Astyanax mexicanus: one gene and its partners. The protein of the gene in region 4 purifies or fractionates together with the protein of the main gene of each other region. This does not show direct contact. Links are inferred from orthologs where the notes say so. Each region holds a gene or a part of one and is shown on either strand. Other genes may lie near its edges.

Region 1 (8,235 bases), on a different chromosome or scaffold from region 4:
TGTGTGTGTGTGTGTGTGTGTGTGTGTGTGTGTGTGTGTGTGTGAGTGAGAGAGAGAGAGAGAGAGAGAGAAGACAAAAAGAAAGAGAGCTGCTTTACTTCTGAAACTTTATCTGAAATGAAATAACTAAGAATACTGAGAGTGAGCAGCTTCTGCTTTTTCCAGCTGATTCAACGGTCAACCCTCAGAAAAACTATTCAGCAAAATATTACCGATTTCCCACAAACTAAAGCAGACCACACAGCTCAACACAGCAGTTAGATCAGACTGGAACTGTGCCTTTAGTTCATGTTTATAGAAAACAGAAACTGCGTCTAACTTGAGTTACTGAAAGTCACAGAACTGGGTGACACAGTAAACGTTTGATCATTATTACAGACGGAAGAATCGACTGGCTATCTATGTGTATTGTCCAATTTTAAGCCTTGTCCTCATAGCTACTAAAAACATTTTCTGAATGTTATCAACTCGACTTTGATTCTTAAAATCTTTAGTTTGTTAAATTCTCTGGGTACACTGTTGCAGCAACAATATGATAACTACATTGGCACATTATCAAAACATTTTTCAGACATATTAATAATACTTAAATGTTATATATCAGTGTATATTTGTATCAGTTAAATCAATGTTTATAAATGTTTTCAGAACATTTAGGGGTATGCAATAATGACCTAAAACAATATTCTTGGCAATATGATGGCAGCCCACTGCTCCAGGTTTGTGTGCTCACTGTATCACTGTTAGAGTTTAGTTTCTCTGCCCGCGCTGGGTCGGCCTGAGATATCCCACCACTTTTCTCAGGCCGGGTCGGGTCGGGCTCCAGAAAATAGTCTGAGACGTAGGCATCTGTTTTTTTAATGCTATTTTTTAATATAAAGCTCTGGCGTGATTATCACAATATAGCTAAGTAACCAAATGAAAAATTATGAAAAATAACAAAAACTGAAATGAAAAAAATATTCTAGTTAACTGAAACTAATAAAAACAGTAATTAAAGAAAAAAAGCTAACTAACTGAAACTGTACTGTGTTTTTATAAAACTGACTAAAATGAATTGGAATTACTGATAGAATACCCTTTGTTTTTTGTGTATTCATAAGCATTGTTTCCACTTCAGCAGTTTTACCACGGGCGGTGTTGGGGCTATTCTGTTCGCGAAGGGAAGCCGGATTCTGCAGGAGGCAAATTTTGGCAGCGCGCGGCACCTCGCGGTCCATGGCGTTAGTTCTTGTTTACAGCGCTTACGTTAACCCTGACATCAGGAAACAACAGGAAACTGCAGAATTCAGTATGGGATTAGAATATGAGCGTGAGGGAGATAAAAGCAGATGTTTCGTAGAGAAACAGGAGATAGAGTATATGGAATAAACTCCACACAGCTAAAGTACATTTGAGAAGCAGCTGAGAGTATCTTTACCTGTGAGTAGCTCATACACCACAACACCCCACGTGGGAGGATGAACTGATAAATCTCTCTCTCTTTCACTCTCTCTCTCTCGCACTCACTCATAGTTGATCATTTTGAAAAATTAGTGAAACCTGTAAAGTTTATTGATTTTTTGAGTTTGTTTATGTGTTTCTCAGATTGATCTCTCTGGTGTGATGTGTAAAAACTAATAAAAAATAGCAAACCCCACTCTAAAAACTAATTAAAACTAACGGAATTGGAAACAAAATAAAATTAAACTACAACGAAAAATTCTAAACATTTATAACCTTGTAAGTAACAAATCAAATTGTTTTAAAAAAGTTGCACCAGTTAGAACGTCATAATCACGCAGCTCTGGGCACACGCAAGCTTCTCCACTTGTCCGCCTTTGACTTGTAGGGCTGTGCAGCTGTTTTTAATAAACATTTTTATTAAATAATAGGTCTATTTTTTGGGCCCAATCTAAGCTCTAATCACCGCGTGTGTGTTTTAAGGGTACTCACTGGTGTGCTCACTGCACAGACGGATTAAATTATATCTGTGCCCAGCATAGTTATGGTTAATATAGTATTATTTTCTCCAGAATTATTTTCTGATTAACTATGTTTGGGCTGTGATTAGAGTTTTACCTGAATTACCATTTTAAATTAAAATGAAATCTTTAAATCATCAAACTGCTGATACAAGCACAAACACACACTTGCATGCATGCCTATGCACATTTCTTAACCTGTTTTATTCTTCCTGCTTGAGGATCAACATAGTGCTGCAGTCGAGGTTAAAGCAGGGGACTAAATCGCTGTAATTAGGTTAATCTTGCAGACAAAGTGTACAAAATGTTTCTCATGTTGAAAAAAATTATATATTCCTCCTTTCTTGGTTGAGGCAGAGAGAGGCTAATACTGGGAAAGTCTAATATCAACAGAGAATAATGAATGGCCTCACTAATCAGGCGTGGCATATTCTGCCCACACAGCTCTCTCTAATGATGGTCTGGAAATAAACACTGATATTTTAAATTATTATAATAACGCAATTTACTTTGTTCTGTTTAACTCGTGTAACAGTGTTACGGTGTTGAGCTGCTAGAAAGCCTTGTTGAAGTGAAATCCCCTACTTTGACAACTGTCCACATCTCTCCACAATGAGTTCCAAGAAAGCTATTTAATTTTTTACATATTATGTGGTATAAAATTTTAAAAGTTTATTTCAGCCTGAATCACTCTTTTACAATTCCAGCCTGATAAATCCTGGCATTGTCATCTTGGAATATGCCCGTGCTATCAGGGAAGAAAAAATCCATTGATGGAATAACCTGGTCTATATTCAGTATATTCAGGCAGTCAGCTGACCTCATTCTTTCAGCACATACTGTTGTTGAAACTAAATCTGACCAACAACATCATCAACCCCAGATCATAGCACAGGCTTGTACAGTAGGCACTAGGCATGATGAGTGCATTACTTTAGCCGACTCTCATCCTACCCTGTTTCATAACACCACTTTTAACTTTTTAAAATGTTTACACAGCATAAGTAAGTAAGTAAGTGCGTGTGTGTGTGTGTGTGTGTGCGTGCGTGCGTGTTAAATAAAGGAACTGAGAGTGTTGAGCTTGTGGCGCTCATTAACAAACATGTATGTCAAGGGTTTGAGTCTCTTTCATTTTCTTTCAACTCTTGATTCCTTAGAAAATGATTCAGTGCCTCATACAGTTCCAACTAATATGGTTTTAATTTACATAATTGATTTATAAATGGGTCAGTTTCTAAGGATTAAGCACAGTTGTAAACATGCCTTAAGGTGTGTAACAGCACAGGACAATTTTCGTATTTTCTTTTTTTTTTTTTATTCTACACACGTTTTTCTATTGAGGACAGGTCAGGACTGCAGTACCCTTGTCAGAATAATTACATTTCATTACATCATCTAAATCATATTTTTTGTATCCTTTTGTCCAGATAATTTCTTCAAGAAAAGATTTTAAATTGTTTCCCCTGACCATCCCAGATGCCTCTCAGCCCAGAGTAGTCAACACGCTTCTGAACATGGTCCACATAAGGCTTCGGCTATAGAGATATACTTGCTGTTATTTTTATGTATACTAGAAATGGACCGATAAGCGTTTCTGGGGCCGATTCCAATCGCCGATCGCTGATACCCATATTGGGCGGAGGCAAATGCCACATTAATGCCACACAGGTGCCAGGCAAACCTGGTACAGATTCCCCTAATATTACCTAAGCAAACACTGGTAATTTACGCTGATAGTAAATAAACACAAGAGTGTTACTGACCAAAATAAACACTTTTCAGGAGAGAAACAAGTAATGTGTAAATATTTAAAAGACACCAAAATTTTTATATTTATACTTCAATACCGCAGGAATGTGTCTCCCAACATCAGCCGCCTCAGCCTGTTTTGTCAGCTTACTGCTTAAAATATCTCACTTACTGTTAATATATAGATAATAATACAATATTTTAACAAGAACAACAGTAATCCATCGCTCCAGCTAGAGCTTAGATTGGGAAAAAAAATCCAGCCTGACTCTGTCTGCCCTCATAAACTGTAATTAAGAGCACAGACCTGATTTAAACTCCATATTCTTAGTAAGTAACATTACAGCAATAAAACAGAGCTTTTAACTAAATTCACAAATAGTTGGAAAGAACAAAATCTGTTTTAATGATGTTAATAAACATCACAGTGACAGCGCTAGTCACAGTTTCACCGCAGCGAGGGGCGAAGACGTGAATTACTTATCTAACCAGCCTTTACTGATTTCTGCCCCCAATAACCCTTTCAATAACCTCCAATAGCCTTTAATAGTCTTCAGTAGCCTTCAACAGTCTAACCTGGCGGCGTGTCCACTAAACTCCGTAGTTATAAACATCCTGAGGTGAGCAGCGCACTAATTTATAATGTAATCCGAGCAGTGACTCCGTGACGGATGCTCTAAACTGCTGCTGTTAGTTTGTGAGCTCACTGGTTGGGCAGAAAGATGGACTGTAGAGAGCTGTATAATCTGGTTAGTGGGATTAAAACCTTTATTTCCTACAGAGATGATCTTAAGAAAACTGAAAAAAACTCCAGACTGGCTGAGCTCTGTAGCCCGTGGCTGGTCTGTAGCTCTGACTGAGTGAAGAGAGCGGGGTTTGTGCTGCTGCTGCAGCTCCGACTAGTAAGCGAGCAGTTTCACCACCCAACCACACACAGCACTGCTTAACTGCTTAACCTTAAACTCCTGAATCGGATCGGCTAAAATCTGAGGAATATACGCAGAAACCGTATTTTGGCTGAAAATCGGCCGATACCGATACACCGCCGATCGATCATCCCATCTCTAATGTATACACATGATGGCTGCCTCACATATTCTGCGTTCGCTTGGAGCGATGGTTTTGAGCATCTTCAGAAATTAATGTGATGCGTTCAGGAGGTGCAGTACACACACAACCACTAGGAGGCAGTGCAACACTCAGCAGGTCCTAAATGGCAAAAAGTTTTAAGGAGCAGCTGTGTGAGCAAATGCGAAACTACCCGCATCAGTACGACCTGTCCTCATCACAGCACAGTGACAAATATGCTATGCAAAATAGCTGCCGGCAGGCAAGTAGTGAAAGGTTTTAGATTGACATATTCAATCTCCAAACTGCATGCATTTTACTTGCTAAAGAGGACACTGGAATCCCAATGTTTAATGTCAACCTCAAATTTTTTAGTCTACAGCAGAAATAAAGGGACTGGTTCCAAAACTTTTGGAGCAGACTGCTTTGCAAAGTAAAGTGGCATTGTGTATTTAATGATTAAAGCTTAAGCTTGTGGTCTTGCCCTTTAACACCAGAATTTCTCCTGGGTTTAATTATATTATTATTACCTCATTATTAGACCCAAATTGGATTGTCCCAACTTTCTTTGTAATGTGTTGCAGGCCTGAAATGCAGAAATGGATGTATATAAATGAAAATGTAAATGAAAGAAGCACTGCAGTGATGATTATACTTTTGTCATGAGTTGGGGTGAGCCTGCATCCTTCTGACCTTAACAACACTCGTCATTAAATACAATCAAATCAGTTCATCCAACAAAAAGATGAACTCTTATTTAATACACTTGTTTTTTAAAGAGACAACAAATAACCTAATGTCCCAATTAGTGGTGCAGTAAAAAATCGTTTCGAGCTCGAATTGCGATTCCAACATTGAACGATTCAGAATCGTTTCTCGTTTTCAAAAAAATGTTTTGGGGGTGAAGCGACAGTAGGTGAGCTCCGCGGTACAGTTAAAAAGCTCCGCATGACAGTATGTCAGCTTCGCGATACAGTTTAAAAGCTCCACACGACAGTAGGTCAGCTCCGCGGTACAGTTAAAAACCTCAGCGCGACAGTATGTCAGCTCCGCGGTACCGTTAAAAAGCTCCGCGGTACAGTTAAAAAGCTCCGTTCGACAGTAGGTGAGCTCCGCGGTACAGTTAAAAAGCTCCGCGGTACAGTTAAAAAGCTCCGTTCGACAGTAGGTGAGCTCCGCGGTACAGTTAAAAACCTCAGCGCGACAGTATGTCAGCTCCGCGGTACCGTAAAAAAGCTCCGCGGTACAGTTAAAAAGCTCCGTTCGACAGTAGGTGAGCTCCGCGGTACAGTTAAAAAGCTCCGTTCGACAGTAGGTGAGCTCCGCGGTACAGTTAAAAAGCTCCACGGTACAGTTAAAAAGCTCCGTTCGACAGTAGGTGAGCTCCGCGGTACAGTTAAAAACCTCAGCGCGACAGTATGTCAGCTCCGCGGTACCGTAAAAAAGCTCCGCGGTACAGTTAAAAAGCTCCGTTCGACAGTAGGTGAGCTCCCCGGTACAGTTAAAAAGCTCCGCGGTACAGTTAAAAAGCTCCGTTCGACAGTAGGTGAGCTCCGCGGTACAGTTAAAAAGCTCCGCGGTACAGTTAAAAAGCTCTGTTCGACAGTAGGTGAGCTCCGCGGTACAGTTAAAAAGCTCCGCGGTACAGTTAAAAAGCTCCGCGGTACAGTTAAAAAGCTCCGTTCGACAGTAGGTGAGCTCCGCGGTACAGTTAAAAAGCTCTGCGGTACAGTTAAAAAGCTCCGTTCAACAGTAGGTGAGCTCCGCGGTACAGTTAAAAAGCTTTGTGCAACAGTAGATGAGCTCCGCAGTACGGTATGTTGCAAAAAGATTTAATACAGTAAGGATCCTAAGTTTATTGTTTTAAAAAAAACTTCTATTTTTTTTAATTGTCCTTTCATCTTTTTATCTTCTCACATAATTTACACAAAATGTATAGGCCATTTGAATAAAAAAATCGTTCAAGAATCGAAAATCGTTTCTGAATTTCGAATTGTGACCCCAAAAATCGGAATCGAATTGAATCGAATCGCCAGTCACTGAGAGATTCGCACCACTAGTCCCAATACTGTATTTAGGGTGCATTCACACTTAGCTCAACAAGTAATGGGTGAGGGAGCATAAGCCACAAAGTTTTGTTCAATCAAAAGATGCAAAAGATGTGGCCATCTTAACCATGGTCCGGATTGTCTGCAATATGAACACTTTTCTAGATGGTTTGGACTTTCAGACCAAAAACAGGAAGATAAGGCAGACTGTAAACAAACCAGAAAAAAACAATTGGTGCTGTGCTGAAAGGATGTGAGGAGGAGTCAGATTCTGACAAAGAGCTAGAATTCATCACAACACCTGACAAAGGAACGCTCCATCTCTTTACTACAATTCTACAAACCAATGCACCTTACTCACTCTGCGGCCATGTTGAAACAAAAGAAGGGCTGTGGGTTCGCTCCTAAACCGGAAATTCCAAGGTAGCAACGGAGCCAGCAGTTTAAATGGCAGCGCCTGTGTGGACAACTAACCCTGCACACCTCCCTGAATTAACGGTGAAATCAGAAATAGTCCGAAAATGAGTGCAAGATTTCCCTGGGTTGTTTCAATAAAAGGCTCCAGAAACTGGATTAATTGTTAGGTTCATGATGTGGAAGCTAGGTAATCGCCTTTGTTTGCTGTATAAAAACTCATGTGTTAGCTAGTTTGCTAGCTAGTTAGTAAATAATTTAGTGACTGGTGAAAAATACCCTGCAGTATGTCTAACTACAGCCCTCCTGACAGGCTTCACTGATCTTTCCAGGCAAATAAGGTGGGCACAGCATACTTTATAAACTTTCGCATGCCAGCCAGTGTCTTAAAGAAACACTATTTCATAAAGTATTTTTAACCTTACTTTTGTTTCCACCGTTAATCTGTAATATCAAATCAGACATAAAATTATTGTTAACATGAACGTGAAATGCCAAATACAGTCCAGCTAAGCATGCAAGTGTACACGCCTGTAAGATCAGGTTCCCCACAGTAGGATATTGTTTAGCTAGCTAGCTAAGCAGGCTATTCTAAAGAGCTATGGCTGGACTAACGCTACCCCTCACTCATTTTGACATTAAACCAAAAAAATAACCAGTTCAGGGTAAATTAAGTCATAGTTAAAGAATCAGGTTTAGCTAGCTTGCTATCTCTCTGCAACGTTAATCAGGCTAGATTCACTTGCTGGGTAAGATTAATATGGCTAGCCTTAGCTAGGTAGCACAGTAATACACATCTTACATTATAATGGTGATCTCTTCTGATTTGGTTAATCCATTCACAGTGAAGTATGGGATCTTTGAGGAAACTATGGAAGATTTAATCTTTATAATATGTCTTTCTTTTTGAAGAAGTGCATTTAAAAACACATCAGTGAGGCTCCATTGCTAGTACTCAGTGATCCAACGCTACTTTCATACCCCACAGCCTC
Region 2 (7,812 bases), on a different chromosome or scaffold from region 4:
TAGTGAAAGTTAAAGCTAAATTAGCTTTAATTGTATGTAGTAGGTTAATAACATGTAATACTGTTCTAGGCACTGAACATCTCTTTATTGCTTTATTGGTTAATGCACTGTTAAAGTTCAAACTGTAAAGAGACCAATCCTGAATTCTGAGTTCGTTACATTTGTGTAGTTGGGGTGAAAAGGATCTCTTCTGTATTTTTTTGGCACTTAACTTTTTACACTTGAAATCACACAAAAACTGTAAAACTTACTACAACATGCCATACTAATGTATGTCCCAGGGCAGAGAAACCCAAGGAGCAGAAGTCCCCAGTTGTGGACTCCCCACCACAAGAAAATGACAGTGAAGACGAACGCCACAGCGATGATGACCAGAAGACTTCAAAATCAGAGTTCAGCAAGACAAGCAGCAACAGCAGCCACTCCAAGAGGCACTACCGACAGAGGTCTCCTTCCTCAGCCAGTGGCGATGAACAAGAGAAGGAAAGGAAACAAGAGAAGGAGAAGAGGAGACACAAAGAAAAAGAGAGGGACAGAGCAAGAGAGGACAAGCATGGTCATCGCAAAGAAGACAAGGACCACAGAGGAGAAAGGGGCCGACATTGGGACAGGGAGGAAGAGAAAGGACGAGAACGAAGGGATGAAGACAGAGGAAGAGAGCGAAGAGACAGGGACAGGGAGAGAGACAAAGAAGACAAGCATGGGAAGAAACACAGAACAGACAGCAGCCCAAAAGAGCGAGCACATGAACGAAATGAAGAAAAAGGGAGGGATCGGGACAGACACAATGAGAGAGACCACCACAAAACAGATGACAAGGGCAAAAGGGATGCAGGAAAAGAGAAGGAAGAAAATACCCAAGCAGATGAGAAGACGAAAGAAAAGGATGCACAAGCTGAAGGTGGTGCTGAAGTTGAGGCAGAACCAGGTCCCAGCAAATTTGCAAAACGCAACAGTGAACAGACTGTGAGCTCTGCCCGGGAAAGATATTTGGCTCGACAGATGGCTCGATCGGCTGCAAAGTCCTACATTGAAAAAGATGAAGACTAAAATGCACACAACTGTGCAGGGACTGTTTCACATATGGTGGATGTTGGTAACTAGACTAACCTGAGGGAAGTCATGTTTCCACTGTAGTTGCCATTTAATTTCAAATTGTACAGTAACTTGTTTGTGCTTATTAAAAAAAAGTATGTGGTTCATTTTCGCTAAAATTCAGTTTTTTTTTTGTCAGAGACTTGGTCTAATTCACAGGGACAGAAGTAAAGAAACCACACTTTTACCCTGTTAAATGTTCATGTAAACGCTGTCAAGTTGGTGTCAAAATACTACTGATGTGCTGCTATTCACCAGCTATAAAGTTTGATCTAAAAAAATGTACATTTTTGTACAGGTGCACAATGTAGTTCATTTGCCTTAATGCGCATATGAGCATTAGTCACATTACTGGATGTGGAGGGTCAGACTTCCCTAGATTTATGCTATACAACTTCTTTGCAGCTTGATAAAAAGAAACTGGACCAGTATCTGCCCATTGTTAATTTCCCTTGGGTTTTCTTAGCTATGTGACCAAGTCCTTAAACTGCAATAGACCAGCATATTCCCCCCTGAAGTAATGAAACCTTAAGGCACACCATTATTTTCACCCTTCCTTTAAAAAAAATCCACCAGAGTAAGGAAGGTTGAGGTATTTCTCAGGCAAATTTGTAGGGGTGCTATTCTAATCTGCAAGGAACTTTTCATTTTGGCCACAGGTGTTATTGTACCGGTTCAATTCCTTGTTTCTTCCTTGAATCTACACCATTTAAAACCTTGCCTACACAGAGCTGGTGTGGCTGCACAGGTTTTTCAGCCAAGCAGATGCAGTTTAATGACTGCCCACCTGATTAAACAAGTTAAATTTGGTGTGCTACTGACTGTTTAGAATGAAGTTTAGAAGTTTTTTTTTCCTTTTACTGAATTATAGCATATAAAAGTAATGAAAAACCTCATCAAGTAATCATTGTATTTGCTCTGGAAAATACTAAAATTCATGGAAAAGCTTAAACCTTCAAGATGAAGAGACACACCAATGGTCAGGTTAACAAGTTTATTTAATTAAAAATTTTATTCCGCATGCCACACATGTACTGTTGCAGGTTTGATTTTCACGTTCTTCCGCTCAACAGCTTTTACTGCTTTGTCCAGTGCCTGAGTGGAAGATGGAAAAAAAAATTAAAACCAAGTACAGAAACCAAATTTAACAGTTAATTAAAATTTCTTAAAACTTCAGAAAACCGAGTATCACCACTGAACAATCTGCCGGTAATTCCAGCTACTCTCAGTTTTGTTTTCATCACAAGTTAACATGAGGCATTTAACAGAACAGGGTTAGCAGTGTACTCACCCCGCCTTACTTAAAATCTTCTTGAATCCTTGGATCACATGGTCCCTGTAAAAATTAACAAGTTGTTAGATTGAGATCACATACTTTTACCTTAAAGTCTGCAAGTGGCTATTGTGTGTTCAGAAAACCGATGATCACCACTGAACCTTCTGCCGGTAATTCCAGCTATTTCAGTTTAGGTTTCATCATTACACCATATCAGGACTACATTTGTTTACTAACTAAATGAATCTCGATTTAATTTCTTTACTACCAAGAATGCTTAAATCCCACAGGGGGGCAGGGATGTAACTACAGCAGTAAAAGTGATAGAAAGACTGCATTAAAAAGTGGGGAAAAATAAAATTACATATCAGGCATTAAACAAATAATTAAATCTTTAATAACATATATAAAAGTGCACATGTAGATGGCATGTTTAATAGTAAATTCTGCAACCTGCAAGTGAACTGTGGACATACTATTAACATAACCTCCATAATTAACCAAATCTTTTAGCCAAAAAACGACTTACCTTATTAACTCATGTAGTAACGAGCAATTGTTTCTTCCAGCACGTGGAAGGAGGTTCTGCCTGCAGTGAATGAAAGGGTGAAATGGTAAACATTAACTAGTACTAGTGACTAAAGGGTTACATTATTAGGTTAAGGTCTCTCAGATTATTTGAATAAATGAAATCGTCAGTTATCGCATAAGACGGCACTTCCTACTCAAAGTTTTCTTCACAGAGACGTGAAAAAACACTAATTTACGAATTAACGTTTCTCACCTTTTAATAATAAGGCTCAAGCCTCAGTTGTTCCTTTCCGCCCTGCACTGTGGTGGATTTGGACATAGTTTATTGTGAGATGCAGGGCTGCAGCACCATACCTATAGGAAACACATTTAAAACAGAAGTTAAGATACCATAGCACTTCTGTAACCGCGTTCAGAACTACAGAAAAGTATCAGTATCGATATTCATTATCGATTATATATGTGAAGAATGTGTAACGTTACCTTGTGCCGCATCGTGCCTCCTTCAGCCACGTGGTTCTCCTGAACTCTTCAGTAACTAGGTTTTAACTAATGTAGTAAGCACAAATTATCTCAACTCGCGCCCATCGAAAGCCATTGTCGAGTGAGATATTTCTCCATTAATGCGTAAAAACTGGAAACACACCCATGGTGTTTGCTTATACAGACTTTAGCCATCTCTGCACTACACTCTTCCTCTCGGAGCCGTATGAGAAAGACTGAATGGCGTCGTCCTTCCAGTTATATCCGAGCCGCCTGGTGACGTTCTGCTCATGTTCCGCTGCGAAGCACACAGATCTACTCCGTAACACCGGATATACGGGATTTTTTAGTTAATTTTATTTTACTTTATTTTAATGTACACATTCTTATATTATAAATACGTATTACATAGAAATTACGTACAAAATACTTATTCAAAGATCAGGCATTACACACAGCAAAAAGTATTAGAAGTAAGACATTTATATAAAATAAAATTATAATAAAAACAAACTACGGTATAACCTACGGTATATTTAGACATTCACCTTTAATTTATTTATGTTCTAAAATAAACAATGTAATTATAAAAGGCTATTTTTAAATCCATTGAAATCAATATATATATATATATATATATATATATATATATATATATATATATATATATATATATATATATATATATATATATATAATACGTTCTAGCATTTAAAACTACAAAAATATATACATCTAGAAAAATGTACTGATGTAAAAGCACAATGGGACATTTAAAAATCGAAATTATTGTGGACAGCATTGCAGAGCATACAGTATTTAATATGATATAATTAACCATATACTATTATGTATTATAACAAAATATAAATGTTAGTAATGATAGATAGTATTGTTCAAATCTAATAAGCCTGTTTATGCATATCTGATTATTAAAAGCATCTTTTTGTGTTTATTACAACCACCAAATCGTTGGAGCATTACGCCACTTAGTTGACTACAAAACATATATAACTTAATATAATAACTATAATAATAATAATAATAATAATAATAATAATAATAATAATAATAATAATAATAATAATAATAATAATAATAATAATAATGGGGGGGCTAATGTTTTATGATTTATTTACTTCATCTAAAGAAATTGCGAATTAAAGATGTATTTATGAATATAACATTTTACAGTAGGAACAAAAGTGTGGATGGTTCCTTTTATGTGTTGTATCTCAAATAAACTAAGAGAAGTCCACTTTAAAACATTCATTCTTTTTATTATCTCAAAGAATCGTCATTATAAAAAATAAATGTATTTATTTTGGATGTGTGGAGAAAATGACAGAAGCGGGGTGGTGACGTCCGCTGATGTGCGGGTCTGACGTAGGTTTGTACTGCTTTAGCTTCGCCTGTCGTTTCCCTCCTTCCACACAGTGTGTTTCTCAACTCACACAAATGCCTGGAATCTGAGGGAACGGCGGAGTTTGGCTGAGAGCGAAATTTGAAGACCCTGAGAGAAGCGCTAGCAGATCCCGCTGAGACGTTCTGAGCCGCTGTGTGTGCGCGGTGAGTGTGTGAGGAGAACTGTTGTAGCTGAGCTGGTTTTCTGAAACTCCGATGCTAACGGCTTAGCAAGCTAAGCTAAACCTAGACTAGCTGAATAGTTAGCCTGCTGCCGCTTCAGCTGTGTGTACAGTTCAAAAGTTGCGCAACATGAGTGTAGTTTACAGCTGAAAATGGGTTCTGCTGAGTATTCGGCGCGTGTTTGTTTATAATTTGTGTGTAAAGCGGGGCAGTGTTTTGTTGTTTATAACTGGAGTTGTTACAGCTCGTTAAGCTAAAAGCTAGCTAGCTGGCTAACTAGCGTTAGCCTCTTCAGTAGCGGCGGCCAGTGTTCACGCACATGATGTGGGAGCCTCTGGCGCTGTGTGTAGCTTCATGTTTTCTCCTCTGTTTACGTTAATTTTCATGTTAACCTGTTTTTATGTGATTTAAACAGTTAAGAAACGCCACAAACATTAAATTACGAGCATTACTGTAGCTAGCTAAGAGTTAGTGTTAACGAAAACAATGTAACTAGCTTAAGCCAGCAGAGAACTGCCTCTGGTCGGCGCATGTTTGAACACACTGGTTTTCTCAGGATAAATCCGGTCACACAGCGAGTTTTACTGAACCAGACTGGTTACAAACTAGCAGGGTGTGTTTTTCACGTGTTGTTTATGTATCTAAAAGCATGCGTTCCATGTTTACTGACTAGATAGCTATTTTAGCTACACACGGGCCCGTTTCCAACATTAGCTAGGCCTGTTTCTGGCGCTCAGGATTATCTGACTAAAGTTTGCGACCAGTTGCTGAAATGTAGGGGTGACCACTATTATAAAATATATTGTTTTACGATATTTAAAGACGTTTTCATTATACAAGATGTTTATCATTATACATTTTATGTATATATTTCCTACTGTGATGTAACTACTAACGTAATATATTTAGTTATTGTGTGTTCTAGGGCTGAAAGGTTAATCAAATTATGTACTGTTTAATACTGTTTTAATAGCATTTTCAAAATGGAATATTTGAGATTTTAAGACTTTACATATAGCAGAGAAAATCTAATTAGATATACATTTATTTCTGCCAGAAACCTGTTAAAAAATGATATTGCAGCGATTTTCATGTTTTACACTTTTTCTTAACTGAAATACAGTTTAGAGTTTAATATAAAAGCTGCATGTAGGGTTGAATTGGGGCTGCTTACTGTTCGTAAAATATGTATATTTAAAAAAAATACATTTAATGTAATGGAAACAATGGCTTCTGATATCCCTAAATATTATCCAAACAAAGAAAAGTTAGGACTGTTCTATTATTGTGACCTTCTTTACAGCGACATTTGTATATTAATTAGCAATCGTGCAATTTATTTTCTATCTATTTTTTATTAATTTGATAATTGGTGATGTTTAGGTCGTCATGGCTTATGCTGTGTCTTTCTGAGCTTTTAGGGACATTTTAATATTCTTTTACTCTGTGATATTTATTGTGATATTTCCTCGGAAATGTACAGAATTGACAATCATTAATAATGAAACATTGCTCAATGCACTTTGTAAAGTAAAGTAAATTATTTCTGGCAGATATCAATTACTTGGTATAAATTTTGGTAGCGATGCCAATTAAAATAATGAGACCGTAATTGTTCCTTTTAAATCACGCAGCGAAAAATGGTTATGTTTGCAGAGTAGAAAAAAGTGTCCGCACCCCTACAATAAGTTATAAACGATGTTTATTGTTATATTTTGACCCAAAAACAAAGGCGTCATTGCAGAAGACTCTATTCAAACTCTATTCTGTTCAAACACTGTTTTAAACACTGTTTCATCGGTAGTATGGTGATATAGTTTCATTTTAAATTCGCTGGACGTTTCCTATTAAACATATCTATTTACACACACTGTAATAAATGTTGGTCAGTTGGTTAGTATTCTGCAAGCACTTAAACCCACAGTATGCTCAGAAAATTTATTTTTTTAACAAAAGTATGATAAAAATAGTATGATAAAAATATTACTGTACTGCCCACCCAGTTGCTCAGACTACCTACTATTGTGTTATTCTGATGCCAGATAACCAGTGCTTTTAATTAGGAATGTAACAGCCAAGCAGGCTTTGAATGCTACAGTGCATTTTCTGACAATGTGATAATAGCTATGTAAGGTTTCATGTGATGATTTGAGAAATGAAAGTAAAATCTTCCTCTGCTGTTAAGTAGCCTTAAGTTATCCTCTTATACTCTCCTTACTTTCTGATGTTTTGAGCACAGATGAGTTGTGTACTGAGTTGAATAATAAGCTGCATGTTTGATCACAATACAAAAACTGACCTTTTATCACACTGCTGTTATTTGTGGCAGACATATGCAGGGTGTATAGCAGTCCAAGATGTTTAACAAATCATTTGGTGCTCCCTTCGGGGGAGGAACAGGAGGATTTGGGACATCATCCACGTTTGGACAACAAAGTAAGTAAACTGTGTAATTAAATATCTTTACTGTGAGTGTCTGGATTTCTTCTCTATGTTGAAAAAAATGTGGTTAGCACCAAGTTGCTAGCAACCAGAGTAAAAACTATGTAGTTTGCCTTTTTCCCCCAACCAAATGTTTGAAAATGAATAAGTCTAATGTTAAAAGCACAAGAGTTCTCACATAATGACTGATTGCATTACTTTATTTGTCTTTGGATATCCTTTAGTCATGACAGCTGCTATTCTATAGGATTTTTCATGAATAAATGCCACACACTAAGATTCATGCAAAGATTGTGTCCAATTATGATGTCAATTGTATCCAGCAGAATAGGTTGTTTTAAAGATTACCTTTTTATAACATTGAAACATTTAATTTTCAGACACTGGGTTTGGAACAA
Region 3 (7,543 bases), on a different chromosome or scaffold from region 4:
ATTAGGTGTTCGGTGAGCTGGGTGAAGAGGGCGGGGCTGCAGCTGGGCACCAGGTGACCCAGGGCGATGATGGCACGCTTCCTGACCGCCATGCGTGGACTGGTGAGCTGGGGGAGCAGACTGGTCAGAATGGACTGGTGAAAGCTGACCAGCGTACTGCCGAGCCTAAAAACACCATAAAACATCAACACTGCTAATAAGATCTCCTGCAGGCAGTGGTGGATTAAGGTGATCGGGGTCCTGGGCTATACTTTGAATGGGCCTTCCATCCCAAACACTTTTATACACACAATTAATTAATGATATATATATATATATATATATATATATATATATATATATATATATTAGTGGTGTCAATCACTTAACAATTAATCACAACAATATTATGTTATTAATCATAATTAAAATATTTTTTTCATGATTTATTCCTTCTTTCTAGATCCTTTTTTAACAGTTTTTTAAATATCTCAGGGTAGTTTTAATTATTTTTAAACTAGAATCAAGTTAATCATTTAATGTGATGTTAAGATACTGAGTTGAACTGAGATCTTCAATAGAGGAAATAAACACTAGTGTAGCTCCATATTCCACACTCTACAAACTAGAAAATGTGTGGTTGGGTGAAAATTAAGCGCTCTTATTGGCCGAAAACACTTTATTTACAGAATCAACTTCAGCGACTGAAACTGGCAAAATGCGAAATAATGCGATATGTGTAGTTTAGAACATGAAGTGGACTAGGCACATGTGCACATGTTGGCACATGTTCTATAAGTAGGTTTTAACAATGACAATATCATATATCAGATATCAGACATCAGACCTGACCTTCCCAGCATATCTGAGAGGATATCCAGGGCTTCCAGCTGCACAGGTACATCATCCTGCTTCCCCATGGCACCAATCAGCTGAGATGTGATCTTTTTACAGACGTTAGCAGTCAGACACAAACCTGAAAAAACAGTGGAGGAAAATAAAAATTAAACACAGTCCGGTCAGAATATTATAATCACTTTCTTGTTTCTGCACTTACTATACATAGTATCAGCTTTATTAAGTGTAGAGGACACTTTTTAATAGTCAAATTACAGACTGTAGTTCTGTATCTGTTTCTCTGTATATTTTATTATTATAAAGCTCAGGACCCACAGGATAGAACACCACAGGTTGGTAGGAGCAGTGCTGCTGGAGTTTTTAAACACCTCAGAGCCACTGCTGCACTGAGAATGGTCCACCAACCAGCATCCTGTGGTTTGTGTCCTGTGGGTAGAGTCCTGCACCCAATTATGAAGGACTAGAAGATAGGCAACTTCTGTTTCACTTATTTTATCTACAAGGTGTTTCAACTGTAGGTAGGAGTGTTTAATAGAGTGGAGGACATTAGAGTAGAGATTAAACACAGTGTTTAAAAACTCCAGCAGCACTGCTGCATCTGATCCACTCACTGAACCAACCAGAGCAACACACACTAACACCTCATACACCACCACCATGCCCAAATAATAACAGCTGCTCTGTGGTGTTTTTTTTTTATCCTGTGGGTTCTGAGTATTAAAGAACAGGGTGAAATGAGGAAAATAATAATAATAATAATAATATACAGTGTACAGAGAAACATGTACTACAGGACTACAGTCTGTAATTATTATTATAGAACTACAGAGTGAACTATATGATCAGTGACACTGATAAGATGGATAATAACTCAAATATATTGCATATGCATCAACTACATTACTTATAAAGTTAATAAAGGACTGAAAGCTTAATCTCTTTATCAAATCGGCATCATGCATTAATCAGATTAGCAGTGACTGTTACCTGCAGACGCTGGGGGCAGTTCAGCGATAACTGTCTTCAGCCCCATGCTGGAGATATCTCTGAGCTGCTCCTTATCCGACACCATGTTGGAGCACAGCGCGTCCACCATCGTCTCCACCTGATATTCCTTCACTTTACTCACCAGAGGACCTAAACTGCACACATCATTAATACATCACATCATTAACATGTAGATAAGTTCCCTTTCAAAATCTGTCTGCATGTCCGAAAGCGTCAATCAGGATCTGATCGTGTTCTGCCACACAAGGACATTAAGAAGCTCCATTACAGCACTCCAACTCTTTCTAAAGGTATTGGATGGCGCACCATCATGCCAGAGATCACAGGTTTACTGCTCCACAGCTTAATTCTGGCATCTTTATTGTTTAAGATCCACATACAGCTAAAATTCAACATGATCTGATTAAATCAATCAATCAATCAATCAATCAATTTCCCACCATTTGACGGCCAGGTTCTGAACCTCCCCGTTTTTGTCCTCCAGAAGCTTCAGGAGCATGGTCACCACCTTCCTCTCACTGTCCTCATCCAGCTTTATAGAATCCTTCTGCAGCTCCATCATCAGATCATTGGTGGCCATGAACCTGAAGCCAAACATTAAACAAAAAACATGTAAAAATACTAAAAGTGTGTTTAATGAAAGGTGTTGGAATTTGTAATGCATTATTATGTAACAGATAGATTATTTATTATGTGCAGTTTTTATATTTATTTATTTTTATTGTAGTATCTTTTATACATGTAGTTGTCATGTTCCTATTCAGTATCTTTAAAAAATGTTCTTAAATTCAGTTTACATGCATATATGTATGTTTAAATGTTTTTTTAAGGCTAGTTAAAAAAAAATGCATTATTGAACCCCTGGTTTAAGGGACAGATCATGCATTCAAATTATTTAGTAAAAAAAATGAATATACTTGTTTTTCATTAGAAACTGGTGATATGTACAATTTGTAGTTTTGTAGTATCATTTAAAATAATAAAATATATATGGATTATGTTAAAGGTCAATAATTTTATTGTTATAAGTTTAAACAGAGAATAAAACAATATTATTTTTTAGTTGTTGGATGATGAACAGCTGTGTAATATTCAGACACAGAGACAGAGTAATCTCAGGGTTTAGTAAAGGGTTAAACTGACAGGTCTGCTGTTAACAGGACAAAAGAAAAACATTAAAATATTAAAATAAAAGTTTATTAACAGTAAAAAGTATTTTTTTTAATATTAGTCACTTAATTCCACGCCCGCATGCGCACACAGCCTCTCTTACCGAAAGTCTTTGTCAGTTGAGGTCATTTTTTCCAACAAGTTGGAAATATAATAGGTGATATTCGACATTTTGACTTTTTTAAACTCTAAATTAACACTAATAAAGCGAGATTATGGTCTGAACGGGGTAAAAAGAGAGAGAAGTGTTCAGGTCAGGATCATAACGCGTGATTCAGAGCGGCTCTGTGGCGCAGAGTAAACTCAGAAACACGACACTCAACAGCACACAGATATTAATAGAGCGATATTACTCAGGGCGCTCCAAACGGAACACATGCAGCCTAACTAGGGCACTTAAGAAGCAGGAACTCTCTGCGTAGTGTTACAGTATAGGGTGAGAGTATGGAGGGAATGGGACAGGGCCTGCAGCGTTAGATAGACTGCCACCTTGTGGCCACTATACAGATTACAAGATTAAACATAAAATACAATACAATACAACTCCTGATCTCCGGACTGAGATTTATAAATGATTTTTATTAATTTATTATACTTACGGAAGCTCATTCCCACCACCTAAAATTAAAAAAGAAAAACATTTTTTTTTTAGTATTTTAAAATTCCAAGCCCTTTTTTAAATACTAGTAGACTGTACAGAGACCGAAGCAGGTAAGACAAAGACTATATCAAAATAATGAAATAGTAGTTGACTTAAAAATACAAATTAGAGTTTTTTATATTGTAGGCGGCAGGAATGGGCTTTTAATAAATAAAATATTTATTATTATTATTATTATTATTATTATTATTATTATTATTATTATTATTATTATTATTATTATTACTGTTGTTGTTGTTATTATTTTTTATTAATTTTACTGTTACGCTAATCATTAAACTGCGGGAACAGTTTATTAAATAGTAGTAATTATTTATTGAAGTCTATAATTTAGGACACTGAGAGAACATTTAGAAAAACGAGGGGAGGATTTATTCAATTAAATTGAGATAATCCTTTATTAAATTAAGGGGAAAAAAATATTATTATTGTTATTGTTAGTAGTAGTAAGAGCAGTCGTATTACTACTACTTTTCATTAAACTGGTGGAACAGTTTATTAAATTTAGGTAATTATTTATTAAACTCTAACGCTCTGGATGACATATTTCATGCACCGATCATTTATTAATTCTGTTAATTTCAATGTTTAAACTAAATTGTGCTGAAATCCAGAAGCTTCGGAACTATTATTCGGGTCCGTGTCTCCACCCGGAACCTTTATGAAACCGGCGGTCTGTTTGCCACGTAGAGATCAGTTCTGCCCTTTGGCTGATTTTCTCTCCGGATAAAGTTACTGTTTTATAGTTTCTCTGGATCCGGATTAATAAAGGAAGATGGTGAGTATTAAAGCGCTAATAATCTCAGATTAATCCCGCTGTTTCTGACCGCTGTCTGTGTTTAAACCGGTAAAAAACGCTGTTATTTAGCGGAGAGCTAACAGGCTAACATTAGCACCCGGATTCTGTAATATAATAAATAAAGAGCGTAAAACCGATTATAACCTTTATTTACAGTAAAGATACACTTTTATTAACTGGTTGTGGATTAACTGCTCGTGTTTAAGGTTAAAGATGATCTGAATAAAAGATGATTAGTGTTAAAGTGACTAACGGAAACATTAGCCTAGACTTCCATTCATTTCAATACAAAAATAATAAATAAACTGAAATAAACTAAATGTGTTGTTTTAGCTTTAATTAAACTTTAATTCAGGTTAGTTTTCGTGAATTATAGCTTGTTTATTTAAGTGTACTGATGTTGGATAATTCTTAAGCTGTATATCCAGTATTATCCACGTAGGCATAACTCTGCAGCCAAACTTATTAAATAAAAAAAAATTAAAGAAGTAAATATGGGTTTAAAACAGCCAGAAGTGGCCCGTGACGATACGTTTAAAACTTATGCATGCTATTAGAATTGTCAGATATCATAGTTTAGTGAGTGATCTGGAGTCATATAACTTATACAGAGCTGTGATAAAGTAAGTTATTTGTCGCCTACAGATTTCTTTAGTTTTTGCTTTCTTTTCTGATTTTTTTTCTTTTTCAGCAGACACCACCCCCACTTTAAATGAATAATTAGCTTTATTAGTGTGTATACAGAGGTATAGTTACTGTGATCATGGTGCATATAATAGAGAGATAGTAATAGAAGCAAAATAACAGGCCAAAAAGGGGAGAGACAAAAAAACCTTACAAAATATAGCAAAAAAAAGTCAGATATTAAGGAACAACAACAGCGAAAGTATAAGAGCTACAATAGAGAAACAAATACGTTTTTGTATAATATGTGGAAATAAATAGAGAGAAAAGAATTAGAGAAAGAGATAAGTATCTGCCATTTCTCTCTCTCTCTCTCTTTCTTTCTTTCTTTCTCTGTCTGTGTGTGTGTGTGTGTGGGGGGGGGGATTAGGGCTGCAACTAATGATTATTTTGTTAGTCGACTAATCTGATGATTGTTTTGTGGATTAGTCGATTAGTCAACAATTATTTCTGTCATGTTCTCCATCTCTAAAAACAATAAAAACAGTTACAAATTATATTTAAAAGGCGTTATTTAAAATATTTAAAATTATATTTAAATGTCTGGATGTTGTGAAAAGTGCTGATATTTAGTGAGTTAATTTGAAATCTGTGCATTTTTGGGCAATTTGGGCACTTTAGGAGAGGCAGACGAAGTTAAGACGTTTACCCATCACCCATTGCGCTTCTGTTCCCAGCCCTTTGTGTAATGCAGTACTGTTACAAATGAACACTTAGTCGACAATTAAAATTTGTAGTCGACAAATTTAAATAATCAACACTGTCGATTATATTGATTAATCGTCACAGCCCTGATCGGAACATTCAGGCAGAGGTTTTGGATGTATAGGAGGATTACCTGTGTAATGGTTGTGTTAGTGGTGTGTTGATCATCTGTGTGTGTGAGAGCTTCGTTTTTATTATACTATTATAATTTTTTTATTATACACTTTGAATAGTTAATTCTCCATCACTCATTCCTTTCTGCTCTTGTATTTCAGGTGTCTGTAATTAATACAGTGGATACCTCACACGAGGACATGATCGTAAGTATTGGTTTGGTGGTTTTAGTGAACTTTGGTCTATTTTGTGTGCCTGATTGAGAATTCTTTAATAATCATTATCATCATCTTTATCTTCTCTTTCTTTCTCAGCATGATGCCCAGATGGACTACTATGGCACACGACTGGCGACCTGCTCCTCTGATCGCTCTGTGAAGATCTTTGATGTAAAGAATGGAGGACAGATTCTTGTGGCTGATTTGAGGGGGTAGGCAGTTTTATTTTTTGGAATATTCATTAATGTTGCTATAATATTATTACACTGTAAACCCATACAACCCATAAAACTCAAATGATTTAAGTCTGTTTTACATAAAATTTGATATTTCTAAACAATACTCAACTATTGACTATTTTGAGTTAGTTGAACTGAATTTGTGAGCTCATATACTGTACTATTCAAACTGAGTTCTTTGAGTTGAACCAACTGTTAATAACTGAGTTTAGTCTATTTTGCCATTAACAGCTTCTTTTCCATTGGCTTCTGTCACAATCTATTTGCATACTGGGTGTGTCCAACAGTTTCTGACTAACACTCACCATCAGTGTGTAGTGATTCCCCCTGGGCTACCTTACAAATAAATCAACTTCTCCTTTAGTTGTAATAAATTGATGTTCTAAGTTATGATAACTTAAGTTTTCATCCCCCATTACTTTAATTTTTTGAGGCAACCGGTTTCCTCAAGTTTTTGAAGTAAATTCAACTTATCCGGTCTTACAGTTTAGAGTCATTAGGTCATTTAATCGAATATTTAATTTGAAGTGAATGAATGCTTTCAGCACAAATTTATTCATTGTTCTTGATTGTATTCATCTTTTTTCTTTATCTTTGTTTATACAGGCATGAAGGTCCAGTGTGGCAGGTAGCCTGGGCTCATCCAACCTACGGCAACATCCTGGCCTCCTGTTCCTATGACCGAAAAGTCATTATCTGGAAAGAGGAGAACGGGACATGGGATAAGATGTACAAATACACAGGCCACAACTCCTCAGGTACCTTCTGCTGTGTTTATGATTTAATGGACAATAAATTATTTTAATGGATAATAAATTTACTGTGATAAACAATTTAATATTTTTTAAATAAAGTTGACATATCAGTTCATTCAATAGAATCTTCTCAAAAAGGATAATTTTACCATATAATGATACACCAGTGACCTGATAGAGGTGTTTGCTGGAGTGGTAGAGTTGAGGGGGGTGGAGGAAGGTTCAGTCTCATTCCCCAGGAAGCCCATTCACATTTTCAACAGCAGATCTGGTTTAGTTTGGGTGAATAGCTAGCTGACTGAGAGACCACATTTTTCCAGTCCAAATGCGCAGTGAAGTTTGGACAGGGCTCG
Region 4 (7,441 bases):
GAGACTAGTAATAATGTTTTGTCTCAATGCAAAGAATACTATGCATGCATGCACATATGATCAAAATAAACAAAACACACATGCTTAAAAAAAAAAGTCAAATCCTATTCCTACTATGAAAAATGTTTTAATTTACAACACTGTAACAATACCTCATCAAAATAAACATTTACAAAATATAAATATATATTAGCACATACCCAGCTTATTAAAGTTGAATTTAGTTCTTGCTCATATACAGAGGGTGAAAATCTTTCATACCTGGCTGTCAGCATGAATTTTATAGATGGTCACGGCTCCTGTTGATGATGCTGTAATTAGCCTTTCCTGATCCAGGAACTGAAGAAGATTTGAAAAAAATACAGTAATCAAATGTATAGTAATTAAATAAAATGTCCTCTATTGTTAATTAAAAAACACACACTCTTCAGCAACTGACAAGTACTAACCAACTACTACCTAAAATAATGTCTAACTTGATCTTAATCATGACCATGAGGAACTAAAGTGGGGTCTGACACAGGGTCTTAAAAAGACAAAAGACATTTAATCATAATCCTTGCTAATGGTTAAGTTCATGCATCTTGGCATGTTCTCCTCCACCAGTCTTACACACTGCTTTTGGATAACTTTATGCCACTTCTGGTGCAAAAATTCAAGAAGTTTAGTTTGGTTTGATGGCTTGTAATCATCAATCTTCCTCTTGATTATATTCCAGAGGTTTACAATTTTGTAAAATCAAAGAAACTCATCAATTTTAAGTGGTCTCTTATTTTTTTCCAGAGCTGAATGCTGCCATGGGTTGTATGTAAATGCTATGCAGCAGAAATCAAGTATGAAGAGCATAAAAAATCTTTAATAAAGTCCTTTGTAAAACCTGTGCATTAATTTTAATTTGCACATATTGCACATATTTTAAATGTGTGTTATAGACATGTTGATGATAATCTTTTACTTATAGATGCTGAAAGCATAGATAAATATGCAATGGAAGTTCAATTTTATGTTCTCTTTACAGTAAAGTTCCACTTTATTACAAGCTTAATACTTTACAAAAAATATGCAAATTGTACTCAAATGCTCTCACTCTGTAGAGGTTAAGATCAGTGAAATTGCTACTCAACAGCTAAACAATCATCTATGTGTCAATGTGCTTTTAGGGAACCACAACCCTGTGCAGTATATTACAGCTTGTAGAAATAAGACACATAAATACACATAAAATGCATGCAACACTCAGATTTGACAAAATATCTTAACTGAAACCTCACTTCCACAATAATGGCTTTTTATGAGACTGACCTGCAAGTCCAGCACATCTCCTCCATGTTTACACTCACACAGTAATTGTGGATCTCCCTCCAGCTCATCGTCTTCACAGGCCATTCCAGTCTCTCCCACACCCCAGATGCAAACCTGATTAGTCTGAGAAATAAACAGTCACTCAGCATGTTTCACAAAGGCTTGAGTTTTTCAGTTTTCTGCTTTTCATCCAAGTCAACAAAAGTCAACAAAAGTTAAAACACTGCTTGATCACCTGTCAGAAGAGCAAGTGGTAAGCTAGCTACGCTACAATTAGTCTTGGACTATAATCTTAATCAGTTGAGTTTACTGGACCAGTCCATCACATTTATCTTCACCTTCCTTAGCAAAGCAATTGTTCTTTTTAGTGGGTGTTTTTTTGGTCAAAGGTTTTGGAAAACTGACATGTGGCCCAGTTTCCCAAGAGAGGGGACTAATATCACAGAACATGCTGGAATCCAGCTACCCAGTGCTGGCAGCACTCATGTAGCACCAAACCATGATGCTACCACCACCATGCTTGACTGTAGAAAAGGGGCTGTTTTCTTGGCACTTCTCACCAGGATGCCAAGGCATGCTGAAGACCATCTGACCCAAACAAGTTTATCTTGATCTTGTTAGACCACATGACAGTTTCAGTAATCCTTGTTCTTGGATTGTTGCGGGCTTTCTTGTGCTTCAGCTGCAGAAGAGGCTGCATTCTGGGGACAGTATCATGCAGACAGAGTTGATGTAGTGTGGGACCTATGTTCCGAGCACTGGAGGTTAAACTCCCACTTCTTTAAGCTCTGCAGCAATGCTGGGGAGGCAAGTTCTGAGTGGAACCAGTCCTGAAAAACTGCTATAATGACCTAGGCCATTGTACTGTATCTAAGTTTTAGGGTGTTTGCTAACTTCTTATAGTGGCTAAGCGTAGCCTCCCGGTTGTGCTTCATTAAAAGTGGTTCTGGTAATCTCCATCATCCACTCTCCCCTATTATGGTATTATGGTACTCAGAACACTGAGTGAACTAGTCATGTTTTACATAGCCTAGGTCATATTTGTGGAGAGCAACATTTCTGTTTCTCACATCTTCTTTCCATAAAGTGCCATGCTGAATATCTATGGGCCATTATGAGAGAATTGTACCAAAAACACCAAACCAGGCTTGCTCCTTATTCACACCTGAGACCGTGTAACTTGTGGGACCTGAGAGGAAAATGGCTAATTGAGGGGTGAGGGATATACTCACTTTTTTGCTAGAAATTAATGGTTGTGTGTTGAGTACTTTACACAAGTATAATATCTTCAGTGTTGTCCCATAAAAATATATATAATTAAATATTTACACAAATGTGAGGGGTGTACTCACTTTTGTAAGATACTGTATGGTACGTGTGTGGACACATAGTTTAACAACTCCAGCAGTAAGTTACTGCTGTGTTTGGTCCATTCACACACTAACACACCACTGCAGTACTGAGAATGACCCACCACCCAACAATAATGGATATGATACTGTGAAACAGTTGTCTGAGACTCCGCTGTGTGTCTCAGTGAGTGTGAGTGGTGGTACCTCGTTGTCCCAGGATCCGGTGGCGAAGCAGGTGGGCTGGTGCAGGGCGGCCGCGTGTACAGGCCTCCAGCGCGTTTTGCTGATCTTTTGAGACACATACTTGGCGTTGATGCTCTCCATGACTGAATTAAACACCACCTTTATCTCGCGCTCTTCTACTACTTAAACTCAGCTCAGAATTCCGGACTCCCGCCAGCTCCTCCTTCCGCCAAACTACGGCGGCTCTGAGGAGACAAACCTAACAACACTACAGCAAAGCGTTCTGTCGAATTGTGCTACCTTGTCAAACCGTCCTACCCTAGTGTATAATAAAGGTGAAAAACACAAAAGAAGCACCATATTAGAGCATGTTCCCAGCAGAAGCCTATGTACTGTTTTTTTTGAATAGCCTAAATTACTGTTTCAGGGTAAAGTTATGATAGATATTATAAATTGCTTTTGCATTTATTTTAATAATATATATATTTTTTTATTATTCTTATTAAGTGTAATTCACTTTTGTGTAATGACAATGAGTCCATATTGCTAAATGCAAAAAAAACGCTAGAAAACAGAATTATAAAAAAAAACACACAAGAAATATTTTTTAAATGTAGGTCAACGCATGCGCATTGTCTTTAGAAAGCACGTATCGATGGGTAGCAAAACTCGACAGAACACCCGGTTCCCCATTTCTCATCTCCAGCGTTATATGAGATCATTATTGAAAACCGCTAGAGAGAGCCCGCGAGCGAGTCCATAATTAATTAAGGGTGAATTGATCTAAACGGGTAAAAACGCGAACACATATAGTAACAATTCACTGCTCCAGGATATTTCTTTAATTTTAAGTAGTAAATTATGTGTTTTGCTCAAATAAAATGAACCTATATATTTTAAATTGTTTTATTTTTACAGTAAGCAGGTTTTTCTAATAGAGGCGTTATCATTACTGCCACTGTGAGCTTACTGTAAGTGTACAATAAAGCTTAAAAAGTTTATATCTGGAGTTTAAAAGCGTTTTAAATGATTTGGTATTGTTTTGTGTTAAGGAAATTAGTACATTTTCCAGTATGAAAATGATTAAACATCTATGAATTTGCGGCTCAGACGCTCAATATGAACCATTAATTCTAGAATCGGGAGCGCCATCTAGTGGTGTTACAAACCCAAAGAAAAGATTCTTTAGTGAGTTTTCTCCTCTCTATTAGAGGTTATCTGGCTGTTGCTGATAGTTACCGCCGCTATTCAACAACGGAGCTTACGATCAAATGAGATCGTAGCCACAGCCTAAGTACGCAAATTCCACTGACAGGTCTGTTCACCCTTTGGCGCAACGACTAAATGTTTCTGTCTGAAACGCAGCAGTCGATGCCTTGCAGCCCACACACTATCTTACCTGTGATTATCTTAATCCACAGGTTTCCTGACCTCCTGAGAGCTAACTGATAAAAAAAATAATGTTCAGCTTTCTTCGCGTTATGGTTTTATTTTAGCAGTATATATGAGTATAGTATATTTTAGTATGGCGTAAGAGGGGCAAGTTTTTTTTTTTTTTTTTTTTTTTTTACCAATTACAAACAATAGAATGTATCCATGGAGTACATTGTGTGCCAAAATGCAATGTTGCAATTTCAAAACAGAAAAAAAGATTTTTAAATATAGCTAATTTCTATATTATTTGAAAATGATAAAAAATATATAATTATTATTTTAAATTTATTTGCATTTGCATTTTGCTGCTAGTCTATTTTTTCTGGAATATTTGGTTGTTTCTGATTAATTTTTTATTGCATATATTTTTTGTGTGAAATTTAAAATTTTATTAAAATCTCCTTACCAATTTTACATGCATTTTTACAGTATAGACAAAATACACAGAGCATGTAAGAAAAACCAGCAGTTTATTTTAAAACATTTTTCACAAATACTGTCAGTTCAAAAAATCTCTCCTACATAAGTTTTAATCACCCTGGACATTATTATTTGGCTCAGTGTTTGAGCATGGAATTGCATCCAAGTATATTGTGATTATCACTCTCGGGGGAAAGGAAAGATAAGTGACAGGACAGGGAAACATCAATCAGATTTCAGCTGGGCCAATGCCCCCGTGACCCTGCCCCTAGAACCGTGAGTGACATCAGTTAGATTTTTGCTCAATTAACCAGAAGACAGGATAACTAAACTTTAATTTAGACATGATTGTGTGGGTTTCTTCTTCAGAATCCTGCCTGTGTAGACTATACACATAACTTATACCGATTGTTGCTACTGATTTGCAGCATTAGAGTTCAATACACAACTTATTGATTGTTAATGTTAAAATCTGCAAATGAAAATCAAGACCTCTGGTGCTGCATGTTCGTGTTGTGTGCAATATAAATTCAATTCACAACATCCATAACCCCTGCTGAAGGCATATGAATGTAGTGTAGTGGAAATTGCTATTAGAGAAGAGCATAGTGGATACACTTTTACTCTTTCTTTTACAACAGTGACCAACTTTTACCATCTGTGTGCCACTAGCTTTTCCCTGATTTCCCCTTTAAGTCATTCTCATGCTAACTTTGTGCTAAGAAGTAGATGTACATCCTTCCTGTAATGTTCGGTCACATAAGTCTTCAAACAGATACACTCATTAATATTTAAAAGGCTAATGTTGATCTCTTTGGACTGAGCATCATCTCACACTAGCTTGGATTTCTAATGAGATGTTTAGAATTATAAATTAAGTCAAATAATATGTTTAGTATATCTATACAGTTTTTGTGCTGAACTGATTAGCTAATGATTACAAACAGGAATAGGAAACAAAAGACAAGTGACAAAATGTAGTTGTAAAAAGAGTTTATTAAAGGAGCATTCAGTAGGTAATAAGAGCGAGTGTGTGAAATAGCTACTGCAGTTTAATTTCAAAACACAAAGAGCCATGCATCCTAGACACGAAGCTCACTCGGGTTGCCATAGTAGTTCAGTAACTACTATGATGGCAAGCAACGACGAGTCATACTCTGCAAGTTATTTAGCTAATGAATGTGTTTGGAGTGTTTTTATTATTTGCACATTATAAACCAGCTCATGTGAACTTAATCCGTAGTTATCTAACCTAGCTTTATGCACCGCTAGCGGTGTTACCTTAAGCCAAGCCTGTTATACCAGAAAAATCCCACTGCTCCAAAAATACACACCCTAGAGTTAGAGTTACTTCTTCACAGGTCCTACCTTTTCATCTTGCTGCAGCCTGATCTAGTTCTAACCTGATCTCAGTTATGATGGGCCCTTACTGCTGTCAAGCGAAGCCAGTGAAGACTGGGCAGGTGTTGTTGGTAGGAGAGGCAAAGAAACCTTTAAACTCACTGCCAATATTTACTCTTGTTTTATTTCTTCTTCGGTCACTGATATTTTTTGAGACATGCTGAGGTTTTTTAGGCTGTGTAGCCCTGCTCGCTAGCTTCTATGCTGCAGCACCGCTCGCTCACTGTTGTGTATCGAACCTCGGGGGTGGAGTTAATGTTGGGGAATGAGCAGCAGGAGGAGGAGTCAGAGACCAAAACAAATACAGATACCCTGAGGCACTGCACAAATAATCTAAATAGGAATGTACCAGAGACTGTAAAAAAGATTGACGCTGTGTCGTCGTTCCCATTCATTTAATGAAAATGAAGCCATGTTGATGATCCTGATACCTGAGTCTGCGCAGTAGAGACCAGAGGAGGGAGAAAGACTGTGGAGAGACAGCCTACTCATTTAAATAACCCCACCCCTGAGGGCTGCCTCGAGGTCACAGGCTACAGAGAGGAGCGGAGCTGATGGTCTGTTATTGGTCCCGCCAATAACCAGCCCTTTTACAATAACCACACCTTTTTGAATAGAGCTGAATAACGTTTTAAGAAACGAATTCTGTGAAGATTTAACAATATAAAAACGTGATAGAAAGTTGTCTGTTTTGCCATTGAAACCTATGGGGATGGGTGGGGTTACACAGCTTTCTGCAACCGAACAGCAGGGGGCGCCTGACCTGTGGGGGCTTTACTTTTGAGAGACGATGCTCTGTCCAGCTATACACATTCCTTGGAATGTACTGGCTGAAAAGCTGTCAGTGCTTTACCTCAGCATGTTTCTTTAATATCTGATGATACATCCTAATCATTTTGTCATTTACTCCTGAAAATAAATTACATGTTGGTCCTTTAAGTCTTAACGTCACGCCAAGTTTTGCATCGATCAGAGTGCATCTTTTTTTTGCCAGTGAATGTAATTAGCTGTTAGCTGTCAAGAGTACAAACTGCTAGAAGTGTGTAAAAACTATGAAGAAATACTAAAACTTTAATACTTTAAAACTTTCAAATATATAAATACTTTATTTGTATTTAGCAGTAGGCCAGGATTATTCCATATTTAGAACAACTTCACTAATAAAAACAGCTTATTTGCTGTCTTGTGCGACAAAACCACCCAAATCTGTCTCCCCTCAAAAGTCTCCAGATCACGTGCTCGGATTAGTCCAAGATCGCGCTCTGCTCCTGCTGGACGCGAACGCGCGTCTTATAGAGAGAGAGATAGAGAGACAGAAAGAGAGAGAGAAAAAGAGAGAGAGATAGAGA

What was found.
Region 1: the proteins of nup43 (region 4) and nup160 purify together in Homo sapiens (affinity purification with mass spectrometry; 5 studies listed by BioGRID and IntAct, counting the BioPlex papers as one, with this or other methods). This does not show direct contact. The link is inferred for Astyanax mexicanus from reciprocal best matches to the Homo sapiens genes NUP43 and NUP160.
Region 2: the proteins of nup43 (region 4) and nup98 purify together in Homo sapiens (affinity purification with mass spectrometry; 4 studies listed by BioGRID and IntAct, counting the BioPlex papers as one, with this or other methods). This does not show direct contact. The link is inferred for Astyanax mexicanus from reciprocal best matches to the Homo sapiens genes NUP43 and NUP98.
Region 3: the proteins of nup43 (region 4) and sec13 purify together in Homo sapiens (affinity purification with mass spectrometry; 3 studies listed by BioGRID and IntAct, counting the BioPlex papers as one, with this or other methods). This does not show direct contact. The link is inferred for Astyanax mexicanus from reciprocal best matches to the Homo sapiens genes NUP43 and SEC13.

Annotation. Positions count from the first base shown.
Region 1 is NC_064417.1:10,773,388-10,781,622, forward strand, and holds the start of nup160 (nuclear pore complex protein Nup160), read left to right. Parts: upstream 1-4,926; coding exon 4,927-5,043; intron 5,044-8,235. UniProt on the Homo sapiens protein: Functions as a component of the nuclear pore complex (NPC). Involved in poly(A)+ RNA transport.
Region 2 is NC_064424.1:13,491,105-13,498,916, reverse strand, and holds the start of nup98 (nuclear pore complex protein Nup98-Nup96), read left to right. Parts: upstream 1-4,773; 5' UTR 4,774-4,954; intron 4,955-7,301; 5' UTR 7,302-7,329; coding exon 7,330-7,408; intron 7,409-7,794; coding exon 7,795-7,812. Other genes in the region: nsrp1 (nuclear speckle splicing regulatory protein 1), read left to right, coding at 282-1,050. UniProt on the Homo sapiens protein: Plays a role in the nuclear pore complex (NPC) assembly and/or maintenance. NUP98 and NUP96 are involved in the bidirectional transport across the NPC. May anchor NUP153 and TPR to the NPC.
Region 3 is NC_064431.1:1,059,140-1,066,682, reverse strand, and holds the start of sec13 (protein SEC13 homolog), read left to right. Parts: upstream 1-4,311; 5' UTR 4,312-4,451; coding exon 4,452-4,454; intron 4,455-6,139; coding exon 6,140-6,184; intron 6,185-6,292; coding exon 6,293-6,408; intron 6,409-7,041; coding exon 7,042-7,193; intron 7,194-7,543. Other genes in the region: cand2 (cullin-associated NEDD8-dissociated protein 2), read right to left, coding at 1-165, 832-955, 1,825-1,979, 2,286-2,429, 3,119-3,186. UniProt on the Homo sapiens protein: Functions as a component of the nuclear pore complex (NPC) and the COPII coat. At the endoplasmic reticulum, SEC13 is involved in the biogenesis of COPII-coated vesicles.
Region 4 is NC_064408.1:49,355,840-49,363,280, reverse strand, and holds the start of nup43 (nucleoporin Nup43), read right to left. Parts: upstream 3,094-7,441; 5' UTR 2,979-3,093; coding exon 2,859-2,978; intron 1,426-2,858; coding exon 1,303-1,425; intron 340-1,302; coding exon 262-339; intron 1-261. UniProt on the Homo sapiens protein: Component of the Nup107-160 subcomplex of the nuclear pore complex (NPC). The Nup107-160 subcomplex is required for the assembly of a functional NPC.